Mus musculus: one gene and its partners. The protein of the gene in region 1 binds, or shares a complex with, the protein of each later gene. Links are inferred from orthologs where the notes say so. Each region holds a gene or a part of one and is shown in the gene's direction. Other genes may lie near its edges.

Evidence for each region.
Region 2: Polr2l (region 1) and Taf1b share a complex: the UniProt entries of both Homo sapiens proteins name them as parts of the pol I pre-initiation complex. The link is inferred for Mus musculus from reciprocal best matches to the Homo sapiens genes POLR2L and TAF1B.
Region 3: Polr2l (region 1) and Gtf2h4 share a complex: the UniProt entries of both Homo sapiens proteins name them as parts of the TBP-based Pol II pre-initiation complex. The link is inferred for Mus musculus from reciprocal best matches to the Homo sapiens genes POLR2L and GTF2H4.
Region 4: Polr2l (region 1) and Gtf2f1 share a complex: the UniProt entries of both Homo sapiens proteins name them as parts of the TBP-based Pol II pre-initiation complex. The link is inferred for Mus musculus from reciprocal best matches to the Homo sapiens genes POLR2L and GTF2F1.
Region 5: Polr2l (region 1) and Gtf2e2 share a complex: the UniProt entries of both Homo sapiens proteins name them as parts of the TBP-based Pol II pre-initiation complex. The link is inferred for Mus musculus from reciprocal best matches to the Homo sapiens genes POLR2L and GTF2E2.
Region 6: Polr2l (region 1) and Gtf2f2 share a complex: the UniProt entries of both Homo sapiens proteins name them as parts of the TBP-based Pol II pre-initiation complex. The link is inferred for Mus musculus from reciprocal best matches to the Homo sapiens genes POLR2L and GTF2F2.
Region 7: Polr2l (region 1) and Polr1c share a complex: the UniProt entries of both Homo sapiens proteins name them as parts of the pol I pre-initiation complex. The link is inferred for Mus musculus from reciprocal best matches to the Homo sapiens genes POLR2L and POLR1C.

Annotation. Positions count from the first base shown.
Region 1 is NC_000073.6:141,472,345-141,476,609, reverse strand, and holds the start of Polr2l (DNA-directed RNA polymerases I, II, and III subunit RPABC5), read left to right. Parts: upstream 1-1,456; 5' UTR 1,457-1,487; coding exon 1,488-1,582; intron 1,583-3,205; coding exon 3,206-3,314; 3' UTR 3,315-4,265. UniProt on the Homo sapiens protein: DNA-dependent RNA polymerase catalyzes the transcription of DNA into RNA using the four ribonucleoside triphosphates as substrates.
Region 2 is NC_000078.6:24,543,518-24,547,098, forward strand, and holds part of Taf1b (TATA box-binding protein-associated factor RNA polymerase I subunit B), read left to right. Parts: intron 1-753; coding exon 754-901; intron 902-3,495; coding exon 3,496-3,581. UniProt on the Homo sapiens protein: Component of RNA polymerase I core factor complex that acts as a GTF2B/TFIIB-like factor and plays a key role in multiple steps during transcription initiation such as pre-initiation complex (PIC) assembly and postpolymerase recruitment events in polymerase I (Pol I) transcription.
Region 3 is NC_000083.6:35,670,921-35,675,055, reverse strand, and holds the start of Gtf2h4 (general transcription factor IIH subunit 4), read left to right. Parts: upstream 1-1,312; 5' UTR 1,313-1,500; exon of another isoform or gene 1,501-1,541; intron 1,542-2,227; 5' UTR 2,228-2,230; coding exon 2,231-2,370; intron 2,371-2,958; coding exon 2,959-3,063; intron 3,064-3,698; coding exon 3,699-3,830; intron 3,831-4,093; coding exon 4,094-4,135. UniProt on the Homo sapiens protein: Component of the general transcription and DNA repair factor IIH (TFIIH) core complex, which is involved in general and transcription-coupled nucleotide excision repair (NER) of damaged DNA and, when complexed to CAK, in RNA transcription by RNA polymerase II.
Region 4 is NC_000083.6:57,005,559-57,008,332, reverse strand, and holds part of Gtf2f1 (general transcription factor IIF subunit 1), read left to right. Parts: intron 1-426; coding exon 427-620; intron 621-1,176; coding exon 1,177-1,347; intron 1,348-2,774. UniProt on the Homo sapiens protein: TFIIF is a general transcription initiation factor that binds to RNA polymerase II and helps to recruit it to the initiation complex in collaboration with TFIIB. It promotes transcription elongation.
Region 5 is NC_000074.6:33,730,669-33,734,924, forward strand, and holds the start of Gtf2e2 (general transcription factor IIE subunit 2), read left to right. Parts: upstream 1-1,398; 5' UTR 1,399-1,461; exon of another isoform or gene 1,462-2,006; intron 2,007-2,913; exon of another isoform or gene 2,914-3,038; intron 3,039-3,057; exon of another isoform or gene 3,058-3,404; intron 3,405-3,518; exon of another isoform or gene 3,519-4,256. UniProt on the Homo sapiens protein: Recruits TFIIH to the initiation complex and stimulates the RNA polymerase II C-terminal domain kinase and DNA-dependent ATPase activities of TFIIH. Both TFIIH and TFIIE are required for promoter clearance by RNA polymerase.
Region 6 is NC_000080.6:76,008,003-76,012,298, reverse strand, and holds the start of Gtf2f2 (general transcription factor IIF subunit 2), read left to right. Parts: upstream 1-1,433; 5' UTR 1,434-1,553; coding exon 1,554-1,619; intron 1,620-4,296. UniProt on the Homo sapiens protein: TFIIF is a general transcription initiation factor that binds to RNA polymerase II and helps to recruit it to the initiation complex in collaboration with TFIIB.
Region 7 is NC_000083.6:46,245,216-46,249,265, reverse strand, and holds the start of Polr1c (DNA-directed RNA polymerases I and III subunit RPAC1), read left to right. Parts: upstream 1-1,220; 5' UTR 1,221-1,302; coding exon 1,303-1,371; intron 1,372-1,465; coding exon 1,466-1,537; intron 1,538-3,051; coding exon 3,052-3,159; intron 3,160-3,517; coding exon 3,518-3,650; intron 3,651-4,050. Other genes in the region: protein YIPF3, read right to left, coding at 1-87, 228-425, 938-1,018. UniProt on the Homo sapiens protein: DNA-dependent RNA polymerase catalyzes the transcription of DNA into RNA using the four ribonucleoside triphosphates as substrates.

The DNA of each region.
Region 1 (4,265 bases):
TCCCTAAGTAAACAAGTCTTCCAGGGGCCGGACCGAACTGAGAGCCCCTCCTCCAAGCCTTTGGCCTCCACCCCATCCCCTAGGGCAGACCCTACAGACCATCTCCTATCCCACTCCCCTGCCACCCTCACCTCTGGCCACCAGCAGTCTTCAGTCCAGATCTTGAGCCTGATCCCAGGCCACAGTGACTCACAGGCCCCCACTGCCCCCTCTGGCCAGGGCAGGATGTTGGGGGGAGGGGACAGGACCGGGAAGTCGCCTAGCTCGTGGCTCTGCACGTGGCTCCATGGGGGATGGCAAAAGCTGCCAGGGAGGCTGTCCAGGGTGACATCGGGGGCACAACCACCAAGCTGGCCAGTGGCTCCGACCAGCCACACTCAAGACCCAGGAGACCCCTCCCGACCTCCCCTCCATCGTTTGTTTCCCAGAGGCACCTGGAAAATGTCTAGGACCCCCCAGAGCCTTCACTGTAACCAGATCTCAAACTTCCCAAGCTCTATCGAACTTCTCCAGCTTCTCACTGCAAGCTGCCTCGTTTTCCTAAGGGTAGCTCCCAACACACAAGAAGGCGGCCAAGGTGATACACTCCCCAGAAACCAGCTCCTTGCCCATTCCCTTAAGTCCTTAAGTCACGTCCAGGTGAGGCAGACCTGTGGCCACTAGCAGTCTCGCACGCAATCTCCGCGTCTGAGCCAAATATCCCGGGAAAAAGAGGTTAGAAGGTCTGTTCATAGGGTGCCTCCTCCATGACGCCTTCCCGGACCACCGCCCTGCTCCTCTCCCCAGGAAAAGACCCTTCTCAGAGGAGAGGACTGTACTGAGCGCGGGAGGCCGCCGTCGGGGCTCGGGACACCGTACCGCCGACGGTTCTGCAGCGGCCGAAGAGAAGGACGCCCCAAACTCCAAGGCCCGGACTCTGCCTGGGCACCTCGGGTAAGGGCTCCAGACCGAGACCCCTTGGAGTCCGGGCCAGGAGGCGGGAAGACCGCCTTGGCCGTGGACAGTCGGCAGCCCGCTCTCCGGCTGCGCCACCACCACTTGTTAACCACCTCTTGGCTCCAGTCGGCTTGCGATCCGGCCAGCGGGACCCCAGCCCGCTAGAACCGCCGTACCTGTGCGCGCCGCCGCACGGCGGAGCAGCTGTCAGTCAAGGCAACACGAGAAACGCGAACCGCCGGCCGCGGACCTTTCGGCCTTGCTCGGACGCCGTAGCGCCGGGATCTACCACCACAGCGGGAGGGGGGGGACCGGGATGCTGCCGCGGGCTCGGAGGCTCTCGGAGCCCCGGGTGGGCACGAGCAAGGAACACCGCCGCTTCAGGGTAATCATGGGAGCCGGGGCAGGGCTGCGGCGGGATTCAGGGAGATGCGGGGCGGGGCTCTGGATCTTACGGGGCGGAGCTAGGGCGTAATGAGCCCCGCGCTATGGGCGCGCCTGGGGCGGGCCTTGAAAAGCTACTGCCGGCAGCCTGCACGCCAGACGCCGCCATGATCATCCCGGTGCGCTGCTTCACCTGCGGGAAGATCGTCGGCAACAAATGGGAAGCCTACCTGGGTCTGCTGCAGGCCGAGTACACGGAGGGGTGAGACGGCGGGCCGCGGGGGATGGGACAGGACGGGAAGGCTGGACTGGGGGCATGAAGTCGAGGGGCAATGGGGAGGGTTCTGCGGCGGACCGGGAGTGAAATTGAGGTGTCCTGGGCCGGGGGTAGATAAGATTTCCTATGGAGAATTGGCAGGGCAGGGGTTGTGGGGTCTAGTGAGAAGACTGGATGTCCTCCAGCCCAGACCTGTGATGTATTCCCAGAAGAGTGAGTCTTTAGTTTGTTTTCGAGGCAGGATTTCGGTGGCTGACCTGAATTCTCTATGTAAAGCAGTCTGGTCTGAAACACTTCGAAATCCTGCCTGTCTCCTGGATGTTGGGATTAAAGGCGTGCAATATCACGCCCAGGCTCTCAGAAGTTTGGAAGGTGGTTTTCTTCAAGTTGCTGGCCTTTGGGAAACTTCTAAGCATCCTTCCCGTGGGTGACACCTCAAGTCTCTTCCCTGTCGACCTACTCTCTATCCTCTATCTGCTTTCCGACCTACCCCTTATGTACTTCGAACCTCGTGGGCCCTTTAAAATGCAGGACAGGCTTTGTGGGCATCGTCTTGTGCTCACTACTATGACTGTCCCCCAAAATAGACCTCTGGCCACCATGTCAACACCAAGGGGTTCTCTTTCTCTGCACAAGCCATAAGTCAGTGGGGCTTAATGAGCAGCTATTAGATCAGCTCTGATGAGTAGCTGCTAGCCTTCTGGGACCCTCTTTCACTTGGGCAGGAACCTCTCAAGCTGTCTAGGTCCCAGAGAAATTAAATCTAGTGTGAGTTCAAAGCCTGTGGGGTAGCAACAACCAGTTCATGGCGTTTAGTCAGAGTCCACCTGTGGGGCCTGGAATTGTACTCCTTGATGAGGGGATATTGGTCTCCTAAGCTTTCCCAAATAACCCTGGAAGCCCATAACCCTGGGTACAAGAGACAAACGCAGAGATACAGGGGGTTAGAGAGATGGCCCAACTGTTTTTTTTGTTGTTGTTTTGTTTTTCAAGACAGGGTTTCTCTGTGTAGCCCTGGCTGTCCTGAAACTCACTTTGTAGCTCAGGCCGGCCTCGAACTCAGAAATTCACCTGCCTCTGCCTCTACCTCCCAAGTGCTTGGGATTAAAGGTGTGCACCACCACACCCAGCTAGATGGCTCAACTGTTAAGAGCACTGGCTGTTTTGTGTGTTTGGTTGTTTGATTGTTTTTTAAGAGGACTCAGGTTCCGTTCCTTGAAGCAACATGGTATCTCGCAAGTGTCCGTAACTCCTTTGGGCTTTGGGAGCATCAGGCACCCATACACATAAAACGAAATTTTAAAAAACAGGTGTAGGCAGAAGGCTGTTAAGGATGGATACAGGATGCTATGGGAGAAGACTGGCACATGAGCAGGTGTAACTTCTAGGTGGGGAAAGGGTCACCTGGCTCCTCCCTGAGCATCTAGATACATATTTCAGAAATCTCCAGGCCATTTCCCTATGGCCTGGTGTCAGGTTTCAATCGCTGATTATGTAGATGTGCTCTGGTAACCCCTATCCACACGAATACCCAGAGGCAAGCTGGAGGTGGTTCCAAACCTATCCAGACTCTAGAGACCACATCCAGCCTCACTCTTCTCTTTACAGGGATGCCCTGGACGCTCTGGGCCTAAAGCGCTACTGCTGCCGCCGCATGCTGCTAGCACACGTGGACCTGATTGAGAAGCTGCTGAACTATGCACCCCTAGAGAAGTGACCGCTGGAGCCTGCCCTCCTCTGTCTCCTGCTGGCCACGGGCAGCCTGTCGTGCTATGTTCAAACTGAGCTATTGGGGATGTTGGTGTATTGCCTGGCTGTGGCCCTGTGGCTAAGTCCTGTTACCCTGGAAGGAACTGTTTAGTAAAGATGTTTGCAGAACCACCAACAGGTCTAACTTCCAAGGTGCTCCATGTCCATGTCTGTGCTGTCTCTGAGGCTACCTGGCCTGCCTCCAGTCTTTCCCCTAGGGCTGGTCTCCTTCCCCTTCATCTGACTGGGAGTCTCGTCCTGTGGAGGAGTACCCTGCTTCCGTTCCCCGGGGCCTTGACCACTTTGATCAACGAGGTAGCCCTACAGTAGTCTTGTACCACATTGCTTTAGGGCCTCTCCGCTTCCTGCCTGTGTTCAGGATGGGCATAATGGATGTGGGCACCACACCATCCACAGGTATGGATGGGCCCAAGCCTGGTGACAATATTCCTTTGGAATGCTGAGCGTGCTTGGAGGTCCCAATCCTTGTGCTAGGGTTATTATGCATTTGGGTATTTGGTCTGCTTATAAGTCTTTGTATCACTGTGTCCCCACAGAGGCCAGATCCCCTGAGAGTAAAGTTATAGAATGTATAAGCTGCCATCAGGTATTGGGAATCAAACCCAGATTTATTTACCTTTCATTTTCCAAGACAGGGTTTCTCTGTTTGGCCTTGACTATCCTGGAATTCAACTCTGCAGACCAGGCTGGCCTTGAACTAAAGAGATCAGTCTCTGCCTCCCGAGTGTTGAGTTTAAAGGACGGCTTGTGCCACCCAACCAAACCCAGATACTGTAGGAGTACGCCCAAGGCCACAGGCCTCACGAATTTCTTGGGTCCTAAAGCCCATCAGCTGTGTGAGCCTATCTGCTGCCCATGCCTGAGGATCTTGTTTCCAGAATCTTCCCAGGCCCGACAG
Region 2 (3,581 bases), on another chromosome or scaffold:
AAGGCAAAATACCAATGCATGTAAGATAACGATCAATAAAATTACCAACTTTGAATAATAAGGATCTTTAACATTTTTCTCGGTATTCTAAATTTTATTTAATGAATACGCAATCCTTTTTTCATGTGACTGGATCTCACTGTGTAGCCTTGGCTGGCCTGGAGCTTGCTGTGTAGACCAAGTTGGCCTTGAGTTCACAGGGATATGCTGAGGTTAAGGGTGTGTGCTGCCATACTCAACCTTATAATTGTATAGTACTTTTATTCCAGTTGTTTGTATATCTTGTAGGGGAGGTACAGGTGTCACAGTGCACATGTTATATGGCATATGTGGCCCACATAGGACAACTTACCAAGGCCAGTTCTTTCCCTCCATCAGGAGGGTCCCAGGGGTTGAACTCAGGCATCAGGCTTGGTAGCAAGCACTTGTACCCACTGTGCCATCTTACCAACCCACATACTGCTTTTAATAAAAGATTGATTATATGTGCCTGTACGTGCAGGTGCCCATGGAGACCAGAAGAGGGTGTTGGCTCTCTCAGAGTGGAGTCACCTGAAGCAGGTGCTGAGAACTGGTCATTGGCCTTCTGCTAGAGCAGCAAATGCTCTTAACTGCTGAACCATCTCTCTAGCCACCCCCCTCCTCAACATACACTTTTAAGTCAGAAAATATCTTTAAAATAATTTTAAGAAAATGATTAAATAATTAATATTGCAAAGATTACTATCTTACTCTGTCTTTTTAAAATTTCAGTCTTGGCCTGACTATGAAGACATCTATAAAAACATGATTGAACTTGCCATATTTTTAGATTTGCCTCGTTTCCCAGACATAACGGAAGACTGCTACCTCCATCCCAACACCTTGTGTATGAAATACTTACTGGAGGTCAATCTCCCTGGTGAGCTGTGGGGTGCGTGGGGAGGAGGCTTGGCTGCAAAGTTATGCTAGCAGACCAGTGGGGCCTTTCTTTCAGCTGCAGACTGCCTAAGCCACCTGAAGGAGTTCATAGTAACAGGAACTTAGATCAAATGCTTTCTTAAAGTAATTCACACCATATAACACAGTTAAAAGGACACTGCTCAAAAACAAATTTCTATCTTTGTGTGATTTATGCTTGGGAGAACTTCCGTGGCTTCTGTGGCAACTTGACTAAGTGCAGGCAGACTGTCTCAGTATGGGCTTTTGATGACATGCATGGGAAAGCTGCTCTGTCCACCTGAGAACATTAGTACTGCATAATGGCTTCTAATTAAGAACAAAATTATCAGCCAAAGTTGATGTCAACCTTTGAGAGTGGAGGAGGAAGACCCAGAGTTCAAGACCAGACTAAGGTAGCAAGGAGACCTGATTCAGAACAACTACAGCAGTCCTGGAGGCTCCTCACATGGTACTTGAAGCCTGGTAACATTCCAGTTTCCCAAGCCACGGAGAACAGTGTAGATAACACAGTGAGCTTTTTAGGGCAGTGAGGACTGTGATGAGAGCCTTAGCCACTTCATGCAGAGCACACGTGTCAGGTAATCCTGGTACAGCCTGTGACACGAGCCAGTCCTGAATTTCATACTGAACTAGAAATACAAGAAGCCTAGGACTTTTATTGTCTGCCTGATAGTTTGGTTTGGTTTGTATTTTCTTTGTGGAGGGAGAATGTTGACTCAGGGTATGTCTGTGTAGCCTGCAAGCTCACTATATAGACCAGGCTGGCCTTGAACTCGTGGAGATCCTTGCCTCTGCCTCTGCCTCTGCCTCTGCCTCTGCCTCTGCCTCTGCCTCTGCCGAGTGCTGAGACTATAGGTGTCAGTCCCCATGCTCAGTCTTAGAGTGACTATTGCTGAGTTATCACAATGCATGTCATTTCCCCTTGCCTGACTCTGATGTAGATGGCCTCTGTTGAGTTTCTAGTATAGTATAGTTCCTAGGTGAGGAAAAGCAGTATAAACCAAGATAGTGACAATCCTTGCTTGTTGGGATTCACATTACAAACCAGCCATTCACTTAGGAGTTCTGGTGGAGCTTCCTTAGCATGGAGGCAGGTCTGACTGGGAAAGCCTGCTGGTGTTACACAGGTCTCCTTAGAAACTATTGGTACAGCTATGACCTGTGACCTAAGAACCAACCAAGAGAAGCTTGTGATGCGAAATGGGGAAAGAACTGTTGAGGTGAAGGGACCAAAGAGCTGTGTAAATAGAGGCAAGGAACACTGCAGGCTTTGGGAACATTTGAAACCTGTTGGAGATGGGAGCTAAAAGTTTTAATGGGTTCATGCCATCAGGAGCCTGAGGTGACTGATTACACCTTATGACCAGAGGGAGGGAGACAAGGATACTCGGGAGTGGAGAGGCCAGATTGGACGGGTGTCAGTCAACGCTGGCCTGAGTGCTTTAGGCAGGTTCGTTCATGTAATGTTCATAACCATCAAGAAGTCACTGTGCTAGCTCATACTTTAGTGTAACACCTCTGAGGTCACATGGAGCTGGTCCAAGTGACAGGACTCCACAATCTGCTTTTTCCTGCACAGTGCGCTCCCTGGAAGGAAAGAGATCTGTGGATGAGACCCGTGTGGTGTCTGTCCGTTCTGTTAGAGGAGGCTGTGCTGCACCTCTTCTATGTAGGCCACTGAGGAATTTGTTTAATAACTTAGAGTTTTCAAAGTATACTTCTGTATAACCTTATTTTATCTCACTCTGTTCTCTCATAACAAGAAAGGACAATATTGCTAGGTAAAGGAGCTCATGCCTATAATTATACCAAACCTCAAGAGGCTGAGGCAGGAGGATCATGAGTTTGAGGCAAGCCTAAGCTAGACAGAAAAAAATCCTGTCCTTAAAGGAAGAAAGGTGAAGAGGCTGAAGCTGTGTGGCTAATCATGTGGCTGCTGCTGAGAAGCCTGAATACAGGGCCTAGGGTTTCAGGTCCCCAAGCTCACGTTACTCAGCCTCTGAGCTGCAGGCGCAGCCTATGCTGAATGCAGAACTTCTTTGGGAAAGCAAAGCATCTAACCAAGAGCTCTCAGCCATCAGAGTTCTCCAAGTTCCTGGAGAAGGTTGACCTTGTAAGGAGGTGAGTGTGCCTTGTAGAGACACAGATGAGGAACATGTATGGGGCAGCACAAAGCTGGTGTGTGCCTGTCTGCATGAGACCCAACTGTGTATCGCACATACATGTTTTAGGGTGTCAAGTAGGCCTTGCCAAGATTTTGCCCATTGCTATTTCCACACTGGCCTCATTTTTTAAAGTATTGTTTTATTCAAAAATGCTCCCAAAGTTCATGCATGACATCATGTTTTAAATAAAAGGTTCCTGGGTAATGTGTTGCAACCCTGTAATCTCAGCCTCCACACCAGAGGCTGCGGCATGAGAGTCATGAGTTCAAGGCCAATATGGGCTATATCGAGACCCTGTCTTACAAACAAAGCAGATGTGTAAAGATAGCTTGTAAATATGTATATTACTGTGGCCTCGTTTGTGTTTAACTGTTTTGTTTTTCAACAGATGAAATGCACACTTTAACCTGTCAAGTAGTAAAGTTGACTGGAATTGGGGAAGTGGATTTTCTGACGTTTGATCCTATAGCTAAA
Region 3 (4,135 bases), on another chromosome or scaffold:
CCAGTGATTTTCCTTAAAATACATAGTAAAGCATAATCAAGTCCTTACATGGCCTTACCATTTTTGCCCTTGGTAAATGTGTTTCTCATCTCGGTACTGGGACTTTCTTGTGCAGATCTCTTATTCTGTTTTTGTTTGTTTGTTTGTTTGTTTGTTTGTTTTTGGTTTTTTTCGAGACAGGGTTTCTCCGTATAGTCCTGGCTGTCCTGGAACTCACTTTGTAGACCAGGCTGGCCTGGAAGTCAGAAATCTGCCTGCCTCTGCCTCCCAAGTGCTGGGATTAAAGGCGTGCGCCACCACACCCGGCTCAGATCTCTTATTCTTGTTGAGCTTGATAGCCTGTGATGTAAGAATAACAGAATTTGCCCCCATAAGAATTGGAGACCCTACAGATGACCTTAGTTGATGTCATTTTCCCTTTCCCTTGTCTTGCCTAGGATAAATTCATAAATCAAATCAGGGCAAATGATAGCTTTCTCTTAAAAATTGCAATGTAATCTTCTAACTCCCCAGGGAGTTGGAAGAGATTAAGATTGAGTGAGCAGGTGGGAGGATGGTGGAGAGATGGCTGTCCTTCCAAAGGGCCCAAGTTCAATTCCTAGCACTAACATAACAGCTCACTGCTGTATGTAATTCCAGTTCCAGGGAATCTGACTTCACATAGACATTTTGATTGATTGAGCTCCAAATGAGGGCAATTGTGTTGATCCACGTCATGTGAAGATGTTCTGCACTGATCATTATCTCAGTTTCGTGAGGAACAACAGAGGTCAAGAAACCCAGTTTGTCGCCGGGTGTGGTGGCGCACGCCTTTAATCCCAGCACTCGGGAGGCAGAGGCAGGCGGAGTTCTGAGTTCGAGGCTAGCCTGGTCTACAAAGTGAGTTCCAGGACAGCCAGAGCTATACAGAGAAACCCTGTCTCGAAAAACCTAAAAAAAAAATAAGAAGAAGGAAGAAAGAAAGAAAGAAAGAAAGAAAGAAAGAAAGAAACCCAGTTTGAGGTCTCTACATCTAACATAACACCACTAAGCTGCTTTAGTACGTCTCCGATAGGAGGCCCCGGAGCTCCTCCAGGTTTGCTGCCTCCTCCTGATCTGACAAGAGATTCACCTTGCTGTATAGGGGAGAGAGGCGCGGAATCAAAAGGTCTGACTTCGGATGTTTCTAGGGAATCCCAATGAAAAGCCACCTTTTCTCGGCCGGCCTTCTTGCGGTGCCTTTAGGGATTTGTAGTCAGAGCCTGACTCATAGTCTCCAATGTAGGCTAGAAGAGGACTACAATTCCCAAGATGCCTTGCGACAGGCGAGTGCATTGCCTATTCTAACCCCCTTTACTCTTGACACATTTCTCTGCTCTCCCTTCTCTTTGGACTGCTTATTGACTGGGTCCTGTCTGTGAAGTTCTTCGTGGTTCTCCCACCTTTTAGAATTCTCATCCTTTATTTCCAGGAGCCAATGCGAGACATTAGCACTGATTAGGCGACGGCTGGTGACCCGGGGTGCGCGAGGGGGAGCCGAGTGGTGAGGGGGTTTGAGAAGGGTAAGGGAGAGAGTTGAGCGAGAAGCGGAGTGAAAGGAAAGTCGGGGAGATGTGAGGAGCTCAGAGGCGTGGGTCTCAGTGAGAGGGGTAAGGCTGGCTGGAGGGAAAGGGATAGAAAGGGATTTAGGTTGGTAAGCATGAGGCAGTTTATAGCCGTGTCCCCAGATGAGAGCTAAGGATTTGACCCATTTGGACTGATCTGACCAGGAGGGTGGACAAGAGAGAGAAGCCTGGGCTCAAATAAGTATCTTTGTCAATGCTTAGGTGAACTTGAGATGTCATTGATATGCAAAACACTCGCAAGTATGAAACGATAAGTAATTCAGTCCACACCGGTGAGGATCTGGATTTGATCCTCAGGACCATACACAAAAATGAGACTAATTCCACCTCCTGGAGACTGAACAAAGGCTGAACTTCAAGGGCAGATATGGGATGAAAAGCCTGGTGGCCACTTGGGAAGTAAAGGCAGATGGATCAGGGGTTCAAATCCATCCTTGGCTCCATAGCAAATTCAAGGCCATTGTGAGCTGCATAATGAAGAAAAGAAGCAGGACACGAGGGGTTTGGGAGGAATAGGTGATAAGTGGCATCAGACAGGAAAGTACAGAAAGTGAACCTAATAGATCTGGAGTCAGTGATATAGGCCTGGGTCATGTGGGAGTTCTGACATTTGTCCCTCTCAGGTGATGGAGATCACCCCGGCGAGGGGTGGACTGAACCGAGCACACCTACAATGCAGGAATCTCCAGGAGTTCTTAGGAGGCCTGAGCCCTGGGGTGCTGGACCGATTGTATGGGCACCCTGCCACTTGTCTGGCTGTCTTCAGGTGAGGAGCCTTCAGAGCAAAGGGGATGTTTGGAGAATGTAATGGGGCCTGCAGACTGAAATTAGTTAGCACGGGGAGAGGCTTATTAGCCCAGCGTGAGTACCAGGGTGTTAGACATTACTCCAAAGTGTGTCAGTCCAAACCAGAAAGAGGTTGTGGGGACAGTGGGACTGCTAAGGACGTGGGAGATGGCATGAGACGTTTGAGAGACAGAGGTTGCAGGGTATTTGATCACATAGTGAACTCCAAGATTATGAACCAGAAAAACCTTGTTATTGTGGCTCAGCCCTAAGCACACACCTTTTTTTTAGCCAAGGGCTAATGTCAACCGTAGGTCAAGAGATGGAGCAACCAAGTAAACAGAAATTAGCAACGTTGAGTTGAAGGGAATTTAAGACAGTGTGGAGAATTCTCGGAGAGGGAGCTTTTTCTTTCTGGGATGTCATTGGAGAAAAAAAGGTCAGCTGGGTGCTTTCTCTGCCTCTCTGAGCAGTTGGGATGTTTGTTTTTTTTAAACCACAGGCAGATGAGGGCAGAGATGCAGGTGTGAGGTGGCTTCTGATAACATTTGGCCTCTGAACCTTACAGGGAGCTCCCCTCTTTGGCTAAGAACTGGGTCATGAGGATGCTCTTTCTGGAGCAGCCGCTACCACAGGCTGCGGTGGCCCTGTGGGTGAAGAAGGAGTTCAGCAAGTGAGTCCCGGGCGGGCGCAGCTGCTTCGAGCTTCCCAACAGCCACATTTCTCAAAGGACTTTTGTTTGGAACACTTGCAGGGTGCACACACAGAGGAGCTAGGGGAATCAGATGTGGGCCTTTCAACAGAGCCTGCCCTACACAAGGAAAACCCTCCAGAATACACCTGCAGAGGTTTCCACTGTGGAGAGTTGTGTCTCTTTAGCTGTATGCTAACTAGAACAAAACAAACAAACAAACAAAAAGACAAAGGGGAAAAAGCCGCCCCCGCACTCCCCCAACCCCAAGTTGATAGGTAGAGATAGGGAACCAGAGATTCAAGGATTATATCGTAAGTTTGATGTATTGTAAGTTTGAGGCTGTCCCAGGCTTCATAGGACCCTTCCTGAAACAAAACAAATGAAAAGGAAAAAAAAAAAAAAAAGAATTGACTTAGAAAACAAAACAGAGAAACCAACAACAATCAAAACGAACTAGGTTCTCCTTAGCATTGCAGTGCAGGTATCTGAGGTGAGAAACACAGCTTCGCCCTGCGACACTGTTCCAAGGGCCTCCCGTTCAGAGGAGATAGATGAAGCTCCCTGGAGGTCTCCTTGCTATTGGTGATACCCCACTCAACTCTGCTTCTGTCCAGGGCTCAGGAGGAAAGTACGGGGCTGCTGAGTGGCCTCCGTATCTGGCATACCCAGCTGCTCCCTGGTGGACTCCAAGGCCTCATCTTGAACCCCGTCTTCCGCCAGAACCTCCGAATTGCCCTTCTGGGTGGGTACGTCATTTCCCTCCCTTCCTGAGCTAGGCAAGGGGAACTGCTTATTACACTGGTGGGGGAGAATCTCCTGAGAGGCCTCCCCAGAGCCTCTCCCCATCCCCACCCCCACCCCTTGGAATGCTCCTTCAAGAATACATTGGACCAGGTGTGGATGTAGGGTGCAGAAAATGTCCTTTTCTTGTAGCCCTTGGGATGAGGGTAAAGACCTAGGGATGCAGGAAGCAGACAGGGTTCCTTACTCCTGTGTATCCTGGCCACAGGGGCAAGGCCTGGTCTGATGACACAAGTCAGCTGGGACCAGA
Region 4 (2,774 bases), on another chromosome or scaffold:
GATCAGAGAAGACTTCAGGAGTCACTTCTCACCTTTTGCAGTGTGGGTCCCAGGGCTTGACCTCAAGCCTCGGGCTTGACAGCAAGTACCGTCCCATAGCCTTTCTACGTTGTGTTTTGAGTCAGGGTATCTAACTGAACCTGGGGCTTGCTGACCTGTGAGTTCCAGAGCCCCTCCTGTCTGCACCTCTCTCATGGGGTCTCAGATGCCATGCCCAACTTTGTCTGTGGGTCCTGGGGATCTGAATTCCTGATCCTTGTGCTTGTAAGCCTGCTACCTTACCCAGTGAACCAGTTCCACAGCCCTCTCCCTGGGCAGAGGCAACAGGTGCTCACATCCCTGGCCTTCATGCCACATGGGGAGTCTGCTGGGAGCACATGAAGCCTGGCACAGGGAGACAGAAGAGTATTCCTGCTTCTCCTTCAGGCACGGCTGGAGCGAGATCTGAGCAACAAGAAGATTTACCAGGAAGAAGAGATGCCAGAGTCCGGTGCAGGCAGTGAATTCAACCGCAAGCTTAGGGAGGAGGCGCGCCGGAAGAAGTATGGCATTGTCCTAAAGGAGTTTCGGCCTGAGGACCAGCCTTGGCTACTCCGTGTCAATGGCAAATCAGGACGGAAGTAAGTGATGCTAATGGTGGGAGGGGCCAGCCTGTGTCCCTCCCACATGCATACTTTGGAGGCATCTTCTTTGAGTCTGTAGCCAACAGGATGGTGGTCCCAGTACCACCTCCTTGATAAAGTTTAATCTTGGAGGTAAATCAACTAGATACTGTTGGTCTGGCTCAGCAGCCTGAGTGTGGCCTGGAGATAGGGCCCTGACCCCATGGGCGAGGATACTCCATTGCAAAGAAGGTGGAGTCTGATGGAGCCAGTGACGAGAGTGCTCTATGCATAGTTATTCAGTGAACCAATAGCTGGAGCCTACACAGTGTAAGGCCCTCAGTAGCCATGGGGGATTATAGGCTGGGAGCAGGATACACAGTGCAACATGGCCCAGAATCTGGTAGCAGATGGTGGCCACAAGGTGGCAGGGTGATGTTTGTGCTAGGGAGATGGTAGCACATGCCCTTCTGTCCTAATCATTCCTAGAAGAGCCCAAATGGGAACTGTAGAGAGGGTGGAAGGAGTGCAGGTGGGGTGGGTGGGACCGTGACCTAACCTAGGCTCTCCACAGGTTCAAAGGCATTAAGAAAGGCGGGGTAACAGAGAACACAGCCTACTACATCTTCACACAGTGTGCTGATGGTGCCTTTGAGGCTTTCCCTGTACAGAACTGGTACAATTTCACACCACTGGCCCGACACCGCACACTCACTGCTGAGGAAGCCGAGGAGGAATGGGAGAGGTGAGCCAAAGGTGGTTGTTACAGCTGTGTACGCCCTCAGAGCAAGGCTGCCTGGAGTACTGCTTAGTACTTGCTTGGGCAGACCTCTCTTGCTTGAGTCTTGCCTGGGAGCTGAGTGAAGGCTGGTACCACAGATATGCACAGCCTGGGGGTCCAGGGAGGGGCCTCCTAATGGCAACTTCCTCAGTTCTAGCCTGGGAGGTAGAGACAAAGGCGGGTGCAGGGAGGCTGGGATTGAGAAACTGGGGATGTATAGCATGAGATACCTTGTACACCTGCTGAGGATGGGACCTGTGGGCCCAGAAAGGGCTTCAGGAATGCATGTGGTTTGTGGGGTTGCTCTGTGCTTGCCTACAAGTCTGGACCAGTTCTCAAGGGGCCGGGACTGCAATGTCAAAAGCAGCTCCTCCTCCCACTATGCGTAGTCTTCTTCCGGGCATGCATAGGTGTGGTTCATGGACGGCTCCTTGTCCAGTGAGACCCTGCCCCTTCTCTAAGTAATCCTTGAGATAAATTAACAGTGGGGGGTGTGGGTGGGGGTAGTGTATGCACACATTACCACACAGATGGCAGAAGCAACAAGGACCAGGCATTCAGGTCCATCTTCTGTATTAAGTTTGAAGCCAGCTGTGGTTATATGAGATTTGGTTTCAAAACACCCCAAAACTTGACAGACACAGTAGTACACACCCTTAATCTCAGCACTTTGGTGCACAGGCAACAGGATCTCTGAGTTTGAGGGGTGGTTTATATTCCAAGTTACAGACCAGCTAAGATCACACAATGAGATCCTGTTTTAAAAGGAATTTTAACTGGGCCAAGCCTGGTGGTGCACACCTTTACCCCAGCACTCTAGGATGCAGTGGCATGAGAATCTCTGTGAGTTCAAGGCCAGCCTGGTTTTCATAGTGAGTTCCAAGACAGCTAGGACAATAGAGAGAGATCCTGTTTCACCAAGAAAACAAAACCAAAAACCAAAAACAACCGAACAACCCACCACCTCCAAAGCCATAAAATGTTATTTAGCTAACCAATATAATGGCTGGATATGCCTGGAACAGACCCTGAGTTTGGAGGAGCTAAGATTTGGGGTCTCCAGGGGGCTTAGGTGCACATGGGCCTGAGTCCATCTCAGGGCTCACCCTATATTGTTTCAAGATTTGGGGGTTTGAAATGGCCCAGGCTGTATGCCCTGCCTCTTTCTCTTTCTGTTGCATGTGGTGTGGCTCAGGCTAACTACCCTGCCTTAGCCTCCTTTACAGTGTTTGTGCCTTAATGAGGTTATCCTGTCATGCCCATTTGTCCTGTAAAGAAGGGATGCCCATTTGAGTGTATCGGTCATTATCTTCTACCATCCTCTTTGCCCAAGGAGCTCTTTGCAGTCCCCTACTCCCCACCATCCTCTGCTACACAAAGTACATAGTCAC
Region 5 (4,256 bases), on another chromosome or scaffold:
CGGGAAAATGGCCACTGATAGAAAATAGGGGAAGCTTATTGAGAAAAGCAGCAGCAGGAGCGGAGAAGAGTGAACAAGAAGAATGAGTAATCGGTGGGCGGGTGGGAAGGGCCAGGGGACTGGTGAGCAGGCTTTGAAATGTATAAGTGCTTGTAGGGACTGAGGGAGTCTGGAGGCTGCCGGGCTTGCACCTTGTGCTGACATGTTAATTGGAGAGCCATAAGTCACTTTTGCTGGAGGAAAGGGAAATGAGTCATTTTCCTAGACAGAAACTAGAGCTTCACAAGTTCCGGAGGAATGCCGCCGTCTTTTGTCAGTTGTTAGAACTCCTCGTATAGTCCAGATTAAGTTAACTAGTGGATCTTCGGACTGTCATTTGAAGTTTGAAGAATTGGACTCTCCTTTGGACCTGACAAAAATTTAGTTATACAAAGTTAGTTTCTGCATCATCACTAGTATCCTATGTTGGGGGGGGGGCGGGACATACAAAACTAAGACCCAAAGTAATTAGTACTAATAAACTACAGCTATGGGATATTTAAATACTGGATTAGGCTGTACAAACAAGGATAGTTGTAGGGTGCAGGATGGGCCAATTATTATTATTTGTTGTTGTTGCCAAATATCGCACCCACATCTTATATTGTCCCCCAAAAAATCAAAGACAGGTCACAGGTATGAAAAGAGCCGGTGTTCGAAGCGCAGAAGCTGAGCTGTAAGTTTTGAGGTTGAAGTCCAGAAGTTGAATTCTATGTTGAGTTTGCCTTTGCTAGACTGTCCCTCCCACCCCCAAGCCCCCCGCCACTTGTTAAAGGTGGTTCTGGTGAGTGGTATTTGAAATAAAATAAAAAAGCTTGGCATGGAGCAGCACTTGGTAGGCCGAGGCAGAACGATCTCTGCAACTTTAATTCAAGTTCCAGGCCAATCAGGGCAACACAGGAAGACCTTGTCTCAAATAACCAAAACCACCCACCCTCCAAAAAATATGACAGATTTATTGGTAATGTTGCCGGTTGGGTTAGACTCCAGAGCCGGCTGAAGGAGCTGCTCCGACTTTGTGCCAAGAAAAGCGGCTTTCCGTTCTTCCCTAGAGCAGAGCTGGTAGAGTAAACGTGGCTACCGGCAGCCTTTGAGCGCGCTCCGGTCGTCATGGAAACTCGGGGCGGAGCACGCCGTGACGCAGGCGCCTTTTCGGAGCGGCGTCGCGGTGGTTGCTGGGAGCGAGCGTCCTAGCCGCCGCACCAGGAAGTGGAGGGCGGGGCCGGGGCTGTGTCGCCAACGCCACCACCACGGCCGCCTCGGGTTCGACCCCCTTGGCAGGTCCGTGTTGGGCGTGCGCGCCGCGACGGCGGCGGGGGGCGGGAAGCGGGCCCGCGGTGGGCGGGTGTGTGCGTGCGTGAGTGCGTGCGTGCGTGCGGCCGAGGCGGAGGCTGGGAGGCGGCGCGGGCTGCGGGCGCTGAGGTAGGGACTGCGGCGGCGGGCGAAGGGGGACGAGTCCCGCGTGGGACTCGGCTGCCCCGAAGCGGGACGCGTCTTCCGAGGGGACGCGCGCGTGGACGCCACGCCGCCGAGCCGTTCTCCAAAGCCGAGCCCCCGAGAGGAGGGGCTCGCCCCAGCCAGCATTGTCTTTTAGGCCGGACGTCCATACAGCAAACTTTCGGGTTGGAAAGCGGGAAGGATTCCGGGTGGGCGAGCGGATGGTGCCGACCGCTTCTTGGCCACAACCACAGCAGCCGAGCTCATCCCTGTGTGGAGTTGGGGGGACCACCATGGCGTCCCCTCCCGACTGGCTTTTCTAATGCTGCTTTAAACTTTTTGAGGTTGTGAGTTTTCGGAGGAGTCGAGAGGTATTTTCCCGATCGAACTCTGCGCTCCGTTTTCCTGATGTGCTCCGGTACTCGGGGGCGAGCCGTGAAGCGAGAGACAGAGTAGACAGACAGGCTGCTGGAAGATTGCAGATTCTGGGGTAGGAAAGAACTGGACAGTGGAGCCTGAAGATTTGAAATGTTAGTTTTCCGGTAGCTATCCACCGTGAAACGTACCAGCTCTCGGTCGTAACATCCTGTTCGGGGCTTTTGATTGACCAGATTAATGTAAAGTAGACGTGGATATAGTTTCTTTACCACCCAGGTTAGCCCTAAGATGTGCACTGCAGTACAGATGTTGGTTGCAAAAGGAGGAAAAGTTAGTTGGAACTCCGGAGAGTAAACCGCTTGCTCTGGGTGCCTTTGTTGGTATCATCATATAGAGAGGTCTCTCTTATTTCAGAAAGCTTTGCTAGGGTTCCAGGGCTGGGACACATGACTTCTTACTTAGTTGTGCCACTTCTATTCAGGTTTTATGTGTTAAAATTAGCCATAGCACTAATGCTTAGTCTTTCAGACTTGTGGGCATTATGTAGTTAGGTTTTTCTAAGTTGTACAGGTTTGATCTGTCCTAAAGTCTTTATTTGACGTCCAGATTAGTCATCTGACCTTATGAAGTAAAATGTTCCTGTTTTAGGAGTTGCAAACTGCCTGTTTCCTCAGTCTTCTCACGTTGTGAATTTTTTCTTATTTTCATGCTTTCCCTACTCATACCTCTCTCACTTGCATATTAAGTTAATGTTAATTTCTTACCTAATACAACCAAAATAACAATTACTCTTGAAAAAAAATCTTTCATAAATACTTCCTCACTTTTAGAGTTGAGCCAAGTATGTACAACACTGATAGTGCCCCATTCCCCAGACCTAGGAGGAAACTACATTTAGAGCAGTTCTGTAGATTATTTGCTCAAATGTTAGGAATTGAAACTGGGAGGAGCAGATGTTTTACTCTTAGACCAGGGACTCTTCGACTCTTCTTACATAAAGTTCACAGTGAGTTTTCCATATGAGTGCTTTTTTTTTTTTTTAAATCCCTTTGGATCAAGATTGAACCTGTCACACTGCCACTTGCCTCCAGCAAGCTATATCTCCAGTCTCCATCTCCCTGTTATTTAATCAAGGAACTCAGTGTGTGTGGAACCAGTTAGGATGCTCCGGCTTTCCTGAAGATGTACGTGGAAGCAATACTTAGTAAAAACTGAACTTGAGGTTAACGCTGTTTTGCTAGGCTAGTGACTTAGTACTTTAATGATGCTAGGCAGCTGCCGTGAGCTCCCAGTCGATATCACAAAGGCACAGTTGATATGCTGTTGTGTACCAGGTTGCTAGGCATTTATGTTCAGTACAAAAGATGGATTGAATGCATTTTTTTTCAACTTAAAATATTTTCAGTGTATGAAAGGGTTATCATTGGAAGTAGCCTCTGTAGAGTGGTCTTTCCCCCCTGACTGAACACTAGTGTGAAATTCATTCACAGGGGCAAGAGTGAGCTTTTCTGAACCGTGCTGCAGAGTGCTAGGAAGAGAAAAGACTTTTTGTAAGATTCATGGTGATTCAACTGGTGGTTCTTGTGTTCTGGTTGTGTTGAGATTGCTTAAAAATGCTTATAAAACTACAGTTTTATAACTGGGGGTGGGGTGGGGGGGAGGAGCGGGAATGATCATTTAGTTTTACCTCCTAAATCAGGAATTTTCTGTACACTTTTACCCCTCCAGTGTCTTTCTATGTAGTCCTGGCTGTCCTAGAACTCTGTATGTAGACCCTTGCCTTGAACTCACAGAAATCTGCTTGCTTCTGCTCCAGGTTAATTGCTGAGATTAAAGGTGTGCAACCACTATGCCCAGCTTCTATAGATGTTTTTAATACCTTAATCCAGCTTTCTTAATTAATAAGAGGGCACTGGTTTTTAAAACACACCATTTAATTTATAGCAGTTCCACTCCTCCCCTTTCCTTCCCTTTTCTTCCCTTTCCCATCCCCTCCCCCTTCTCCCCCTTCCTTCTTCAATGAGCCTAAATATGCTTTCTAACTTCTAGAGCACTGGTACACAGTATATAATGTGAGCTTCAAGTGTGAGTTATGCTTGTAATTAAAATTTGTGTGTGCTGAGGATTTAACCCAGGGCCCCATGAAACAAGGCAAGTGCTCTATCAGCTGAACTATATCCTCAGCTAGAGCCAGCTGGGGAGGATAATTTCTCTGTCTCTGTGTGCGTATGTATATATAATAACGTATATATGTATGTATACATATATGTATGTATGCATGTGTATTTTATAGAAATACTTAAGTCATTTATTGCCATTAAGTTACAAGTCTGAGTCTATACACTGGAAAACACTGAAACTTTTTACCTCAGGAAATTATTTGTCAGTATTTGGCTAACTGA
Region 6 (4,296 bases), on another chromosome or scaffold:
TGTGCATATAAAATGAATAAAACACTATTTTGTATTTGTCCATTCTGCTTCAGCAAATCTGGGGCAAAAACAGTACTTTTGTCTAGGAGTTCAGTCAGTAGTGTAGAAAACAAAGATAAACACGCCTCTCATGGTACAGCGTTAAGCATCACACACTATCATATGGGGAAACAGAACTTTATCTAGGGGGACTCTCTTTTCTGTGTGGTCTTTATTTCATTTCCACTTGTCTGTGTTTATAAGTAGAAGTTTGCCAAAGGACAGGGCCAGTGTAAAGATCAGGGAAAGCAGGGCATCTAAGGCACAGGAATTGGTTTGAAAGAGGCTCTGAAATGGTAAGAGGAAGGTCCTGGAGTCTTCAAGCAGGTGGATGGGCTTGGTGTGGAATCCTGTGTGGAACAGAGAGTATAGGAAGGATCAAACCCAAAGGACTCAGTTGAAGCACAGGGTAGAATTTCATTCCAAAGGCAAGTGGGGGAGGAAATTACCAAATGAAGACTCAGGAGCTAGAAGCTGCGGTGAAAGCCTGCTAACTCTGAGAGGCAGAAAAAGTACTCAGCTGACCTTCCCACTCCACCGACTTCTCAGAAGGAAAAGCCCCTTCTCCTTCATGCACTCTTAAATACCCTTCACCTCAAACTCTCTCCTTTCTCTTGCTCATGTTCACTCTCTTGTCAGCTGGCTACTTGCTCTGCCGCCTGATCTAGGGTTGACTTTATTTAGCTCTTGGATTAATGTGCGCGCTAGGTAGGGGTGAGCCAGGCTACCTATACTTGTTTACAGTAAACAGAAAGTTCTAGGATCAAAGGCTGAGCCACAGTTATTAACAGATTCTTCCAGTTCACAATCTCAGGGCTCATAATGTGATCCAATATCCTGCAACCGGAAACTGTTTAAGCAGGGCAGTTGGATAATCAGATCTGTTTCTTACATGGTGGGTCTTACCAACTCAATTAGATGGCATTCAGGTTTCGGCGTCTGAAAGAGTGTATGCTGCTTGCACGGTGTGAATTGATTTTTATGCCTCGAAAAGGCATGTGTCCAGCATACTCACTTGTACTCTAGTGCCCACTTGTGCCAATGTTAATTGGGCCAAGAAAGTGACTTTTTTTACCCCCAAGTCTGTCCTTAAAATGCCTAGCTTCTTTATCTAGGGTTGGGTATAAATACACACAGCTTTTGTCTGTCTAAACCTTAATCTTTCCACTTTGTCACCTTTGCTGTAAACGCACGGTTCAGGATTAGGCTCTTCCTTTCCCAGCACTCGAATCCCAAGATTGCACGTTGCCGGGAGTCACGCCCATCTAGGAAATTGCCGGAGCAGGAAGTTTGTCCCTCTCGGCGCGCTGTCCTGACGTAGTCGTGCGCAGGCGCAGTTCTTCATTCGGCGGCGTGTTCTTCTCATCTAAGTTCCTGGTTCCCGGGCTGTGTGCGACGCCGGCTTTTCGCGGTCTACTTACTCCCTTGGCCGGCTCTGGACTGTCGCTCTCTGCCTTTCAGCGCCGGGACCACTGCTTGTGCGCGCACTGCACGCCTCCTCACGCGACAAGCTCATGGCGGAGCGCGGGGAACTCGATCTGACGGGCGCCAAACAGAACACCGGCGTGTGGCTGGTCAAGGTGAGTGAGACGCGAGCCCCGCGGGGCGCTTCCGAAAGTTCTGGGTCCGTCTTGCTCGGGCCACCGCTGTTCTGAGAAGCGGGTCGCTGTTGCGTCCGTTTGCAGGTTGGAGAAGTTACTTTAGGGGACACAGGGCGTCTTTCAGGCCGTCTCTCAATTTCATCCGCCCACCATGGAACTAACTCTCTTTACCGCCAAGACCTGGCCTTCCTGGAGTCCTGACCCGGTGGTCCCCGAGTGGGCAGTACATTTACCCCAGGTCGGAAAAGTCCTTGCGGTTTTCTTTTTGGTAAGGTTAACTTTAGTTATGAACGTGTATAAATTACTTGAATAGATATTCCGTACAGTTTTCTGGACCACAAAGTGGAGCTGGTCCCTGTGTACTCTGTTGTTTTGAAACAATCTCTCTGTGTAGACTTGGCTAGCCTGGAACTCGCCATGTAGACTCCTGTCGCTTTACACGGCTAGTGTTGCCTGGGTTGGTAATTCAATTGGAGCCTTCGAAAGACCTAGAAGTTCTGAATTCAAAGAGAAGTTGTTGACTTCGTGTTTTTAAAGAGCGAGTTTAGGATTCATGAAACCAACCAGCAGTAAATGTTTTAAGTGGTCATGCGGCAGACCTCGTTTGCCCCAGTGGTCGCCATCTATTCGGGTCACTTTTTTTTATATGGGGTGGGAGGCTCTGTGGGGAATCTCATTCTGAAAAACCATATTTAAATGGGATCATGAAAGTTTCCCAAACTTGTTTTTTAAATGGTTTATCTTTGTAATGAGTGTTTTAAGTCCATGGCTGAGTTCTCATCAAGACAAAGTGTTTCTTCCTGTCCTTTTCTCTGAAACAGCTCTCGTCGTTTGCCAGCACAGCAGACTATGTTAAGTTCTTCAAACCCCTGAACAGTTTCTAGTGCTCCTTTGTACCTGTCTGTATCTATTGTTGATGCCCCTACCCCCAAGTCACTTTCTTTGCACTTTGATTAGTGTTTGGCACATATTACTTTTCCAATATGTGATGAATATAAGAAATTGAAAAGGCACACGCCTTTAATTCCAGCACTCGGGAGGGAGAGGCAGGTGAGTGAGTTCCAGGACAGCCAGAGCTATACAGAGAAACCCTGTCTCGAAAAACCAAAAAGAAAAAGAAAAGGCTGTATGTCAAAGAGACACAAACTAAAGTGGGTAGGAGTTAGTCCTGTCAGTTTCATCGGCGGGCGATTAATGAAACACACCTCTGGGTGTTTCTGGTGCTGTTTCTGGAGGCAAAGTAGGTCACAGGGCTATGATCTAATTAAGGGATTAGTTACTCTGTTGGTGGATTTATAATGTGACTTCTCTGGGAGGTAGTGAAAGGTAGTGGGGCGGGGCCTAGTTGGAAGAAGTAGATTCTGGCTGTATGTTCTTAGGGCTGCCCTGGCCCTCTCTGTATCTCCTCTATATCATGGCCACTGTGGAGTGAGCTGCAGCACTTTTCCTTGTTTTTCCCACCATGACAGATAGAAACTGAGATACCCAGTGCAAAATAAATCTTAAATTGTTTCTGTCAGATATTTGGTCACAGTGACTAAGTCTGACTAAAACAGAGAATACAGCAAAGGGTTATAAGTAACAGGAAAAACGAAAACCTATTCTCTCCTTTCCTTTCCCTTCCCTTCTCTCCCTCTCTCTTCATCTCTCCCTCTCTCTCTCTACCTTTCTTAGTTCAGGCTGGCCTGGAAGTCTCTGTGTAGCCCAGGCTGGCCATAAACTCATGGTAATTCTCCCACCTAGGTGTGTGTTAGAGCACCTGTGCTTGAGTATTTATGTTAGATAAATACACAGATATATATCTTAGATAAAGGAGAGCTACCAAATAGACAGGACTGTGGTGTGCACACCTTTAATCTTAGTACTTGAGAAGTTAGCCTGGTCTACATTGAGTCAGGGGAATGTTGTAAGACCCAGAAACCAGAAGAGGGCATTGGATCCTCTGGTATTACAGGTATGGCTGGTTATGAGCTGCCATGTGGGTACTGGGAATTGAACCCAGGTCCTCTGGAAGAACAGTCAGTGCTTTAAAGCTGAACCATCTTTCCAGCCCTTATCAGACTTAAATAGCAAAACCATTAAAAAGTCCATATGGTATTTTGAGATACATTGTCCACAGTCTCACCTAGCTTTATTTCTGAGTTGTATCACTAGCCTTAGATTCGGTTTTCATATCTGTAGACAAGGGAGAGTACTTTGAAGAGTGATTGAGGGGATGAGTGGGTGGAGGGGATAGAAAGTCTACAAGGAGTCTGACAGAATTGTCTCCTCAACCTTCCTCTTTTCCAGCCTCAGGCCTATCACCTGACACACTTTGGTAGTCTACTAAGTTAATATCATGAACATACAATCAGCCTTTTTTACTCCTTTTTTAAAAAAACTTTAACTGTAATCAAAGTACTGTACCCCCCCCATAATCTTGCTAGACTTCCTTGTCTCCCCTTTGCAGCCCCAACACCTATGTCTCAGTCTGAATTCATTGTGATCACATTGTTATTCCAAGATTACTACGAGAACTAATGCTGACAACTGACAGTCAGTGAATACTTATTCTCCACAACACATATGCTTCGTGTTTTATTAAAGTCTCTTCTTTGCTTCTCATAACAGGATAGCTGAAAGGTCTAAACTACTTATGTGAAGAACAGAGGCAGAT
Region 7 (4,050 bases), on another chromosome or scaffold:
CTCCACATCAAAGTAGGGTCTGAGGATGTCAATGTTGGCATACAAGCTGAAGGCCCTGGAAGCCTGTCTCTTCCCTGCCTGCCACATCTGAAGGGAAATGGGTATGATGAGACTCTTGGCTCTAGATTGTTATTCAGTCTCGGCGAGATTTACGTGTGGGTCTAAGTGGAAAACCTCGATCAATTTAGGACATGCATAGGTCCTTTTTTTTTTCCCCATTGGCTTACCTGATCTGCTACCTGCCGGCTCAGTTGTCCTTTAAAGCCTTTCATGCCAAGAAACTCCCCATCCTCTTCTTCTGCAGCAGCTGCATCAGCATCTACTTCTTCCTCCCGCAGGCGCTGGTGCAGCTCACCCATGTCCTCGAAGCTGGAGCCTGAGGTATCGTCCATGTTCTCCATATCAATCACAGCCGAACCCCCACCCTGTGAAGACAACGGCTCGGAGAGTGAGGGGCCCTTCCATTGCATCCTCCCCGTTCTCCGCTCAGCTGACAACTTGAGGCTTTGATCTTCCACTGCCGAGGACATGGCTTGGAACTGCCACTCTTTCAGTGGTGGCAACTCTTGGTCGCGTCACTTTTGTGGTCCTGGAAACCCTACTATTTATTTTCAATCCACGTTGTTTTCCTACTTTCCACCTCAAAGCTCCAAAGAGTTGCAAAAGAGCCCATCTGCCATTCCCAATTCTCAAACAAGCCTATTTTTAGGGGGTGCCAGTGGATCCTAGCCTCCAGCCCCCACAGAGAGCCGAGGCCCGCGGGAGCCCTAGTTTGTCCCTTTCACGCCAGCACAAGAGCTACACCCTTCCCCGGGAAGACTCAAAGGGGACAGGCTGCGTTTCAGCGGAGCCGACCTCTAGGCCCCGCGAGAGAGAACAGCAGCCACCGTCCGGACGCCGCCAGCCCGGGGCTGCTGGCAGCAGGCGCGCTCCATACCTGGATGTTTTCTTCGAAGCCTCCCCATTCCGGGCCAGCACCATTTCGGACGCCGCTGGCCGGCGCCGCCGGAGTCGCCATGTCCCTCGAGGCTTCCCGTCGCTGGAGCACGCGCGCGTGGGAAGAGCGTGCGACCCGGGTCCGAGGGAGGGAGAGGTTCAGAGGGGCGACCGCCCGGGCAAGGTGGGGATCCGCCGGGACGCCGAAGGGAGAAACCCGGATGTTTGGCCCCACTTGACGTCCGGAAGTGAAGGACGTGGACAGAGGCGGGGCAAGATCTCGCGACATTCAAGATTGCGGGAGCCCGAGCGTTGCTGCGGAGACGCAGGCGCGGACTCGCCTCCTTTTACAGCGAGTGGCGGAAGATGGCGGCGGCTCAGGCGGTGGAGGAGATGCGGACTCGCGTGGTTCTCGGAGAGTTTGGGGTTCGCAATGTAAGAGATCGGGGCGCGGGAAGGATGAGGGCGGCACGGGGAAGTAGAGGCCTGGTGTGAAGGCTGGCCACACTGCCCTTTCTGTTGGCTCTAGGTCCACACCACGGACTTTCCCGGTAACTACGCCGGTTATGATGATGCCTGGGACCAGAACCGCTTCGAGAAGGTGGGTAGAGCTGAAGGTGCCCAGTCGGCCCGAGGGGCCAGACCTCGCAGGTTGGGGTGGGGGTCGCTGTTTCCATACAACACGCTTGAGCTCCATGGACGGGTCAGACACGGTGGTTGCTCTCGGTGGGATAATGGACCACACAGACAAGTTATTCCAGAATAGTAAGATAGCGGTGAAGATGGCTGGGATATGGTCAGGAATCATTGATGCACTGAATCCAGCTAACTGAAGGGACGTAGTTAAAGGTCAGTGAAGGGAATGGCATTTGAATTAAGCTTTGAACTATGAATAAAAGTTGAGTAGTGAAGGCCTGATTGGAGCTTCATTATATATGATTTTTTTAAAATTCACTTTGAAACTGTTTCTGTTTAGCCCTGGCACTCTCTCTATAGTCCAGGCTGGACTTGAACTCAGCCATCTACCTGCTTCTGTCTCTGCCTCCCATGCACTGGGATTAAAGGCATGAGCCACCACGCCCAATTTAGAATTTTTGAGTAGACTGATAACATTTTGCAATCTTGATAGCCAGGAGGGAATGAATTCTGGTGAATCTGCCAGCTAGTGTATGCAGGCTGAAATTGGGGGCATAGATGAACTCCAGACAGTACTAACGGAGTAAGGCAGGGAGAACTAGACGATTTGCACCAGTGCTCTGGGGAGGCAGTGTGTGAGAGAAAGGACTTTGTAACTTGAGGACCCTAAAACTTTCTTGATATGCGTGTTTGCCTGCATGTGTATTTGTGCACCACTGTGTGTTAGTGATCCCTGCAGTGTGAGGAGAATGTTAGGTCCCACCAGGTGCTGGGAACCAAACCCAGTTCTTCTGCAAGGGCAGTTAAGTGCTCTTAATAGCTGAGCCATTTCTCCAGTGGCACTGGGGAACTGTTGCTGGCTGTGTCGTTTGCCAAGCAGGAGAACAAGAATGAGGGTACACTCAGGTGCCTGCTTGTGAAGTCTATGTGCTTGCTTGAGCCAGGAGCATGGTGGAGGTCAGCCAGGGGATTAGAACCTAGGAGACAGGAACGTTTACTGTGTGGGTGGAAGGGGAAATTTAGAAAGAAGAGCAGATAAGGAAATTGGTGTTCAAAATCCAAGGGAATGTAGTTGAGAAAAGTAGGTATTAAAAAATAACGACAACAGACATGCAAGTATCAAACGGTCTAAGTAGTGTGGGAAGTTCTGCTTTTTGTATAGTAACTTCTCTGGGTGGTTTGTGGAAAATCTGGGAAGATTGGGCATAGTGGCGCACACCTTTAATCCCAGTACTTGGTAGGCAGAGGTAGGTGGATCTTTTGAGTTTGAGGCCAGCCTGGTCTACAGAGTTCCAGGACAGCCAGGACTACATGGAGAAACCTGGCCTTGGAAAAACCTAAAAAACAAGAAACACACAGCCTTGCCCCCAAGAACAGGACTGGAGACAAAATGTCTACTGAGCACCATGACTTTAGGGTGAGGGGATAGTGCAGGGTAGGAGCCAGGCAGGAGTCATGCAGGAGCTTCCCTCCTTCTAGAATTTCCGTGTGGACGTGGTGCAAATGGATGAAGACACGCTGGAGTTCGACATGGTGGGGATTGATGCTGCCATCGCCAATGCTTTCCGGAGAATCCTGTTAGCTGAGGTATTAGAGGACGTGGGCTGGAGGGTAGAAATTGTATCAATTTGTAGACGCTTTTCTCAAAGCCATCCCTCTGGGGCAGGTAGGGTGGTTCACACCTATGACAGTCTGGGCTACATAGTAAACATTGTATCAAGAATCTGAGCCACACGCCTTTAGTCCCAGCACCCCAGCACTCGGGAGGCAGAGGCAGGTGGATCTCTGAGTTCCAGGCCAGCCAGGGCTATACAGAGAAACCCTGTCTCAAAAAACCAAAAAAAAAAAAAAGAATCTGAAGGGCAAAATGAAAAAGTGCTGCCTCTTCCTTTTCCAGGCAGGGGGATGGGTGGAGGTCAGTTGTCTGCTTTGCCTCCTTGGGCAGGTGCCGACAATGGCCGTGGAGAAGGTCTTGGTGTATAACAACACGTCCATAGTCCAGGATGAGATCCTTGCTCACCGCCTGGGGCTCATCCCCATCCTCGCTGATCCTCGTCTCTTTGAATATCGGAACCAAGGTGAGGCTGAGAGCTTGGGATTATGAGTTAGGCAGAACTGACCTGGAATGCATGGGCTCAGGTCCCAGGCCTACTGCTGGGGCTTTAGTTGGCATCTTGTACATCTGCCTTCGCCTGGGAGAACAGCTGTCCCCACCCCACCTCTAGTCTCACTGTGTACACCCTCGGAACACAGCGCTAGCAGCACTCAGGCTCTCTCCACCTTTACATTCTTCCTGGGGATTGAACTTGGGTCTTCAGGTTGGAGCAAGCATGCACCCTCACTCTGTGAGCCTTCTTGTCAGCCTGGTATTAGAGTTGATATGGCCAGGCACGGTGGTGGACAGCTTTACTCCAAGCACTGGCAGAGGCAGGCAGATGTGTCCTGAGTTCAAGGCCAGCCTGGTCTGCAGAGCAAATT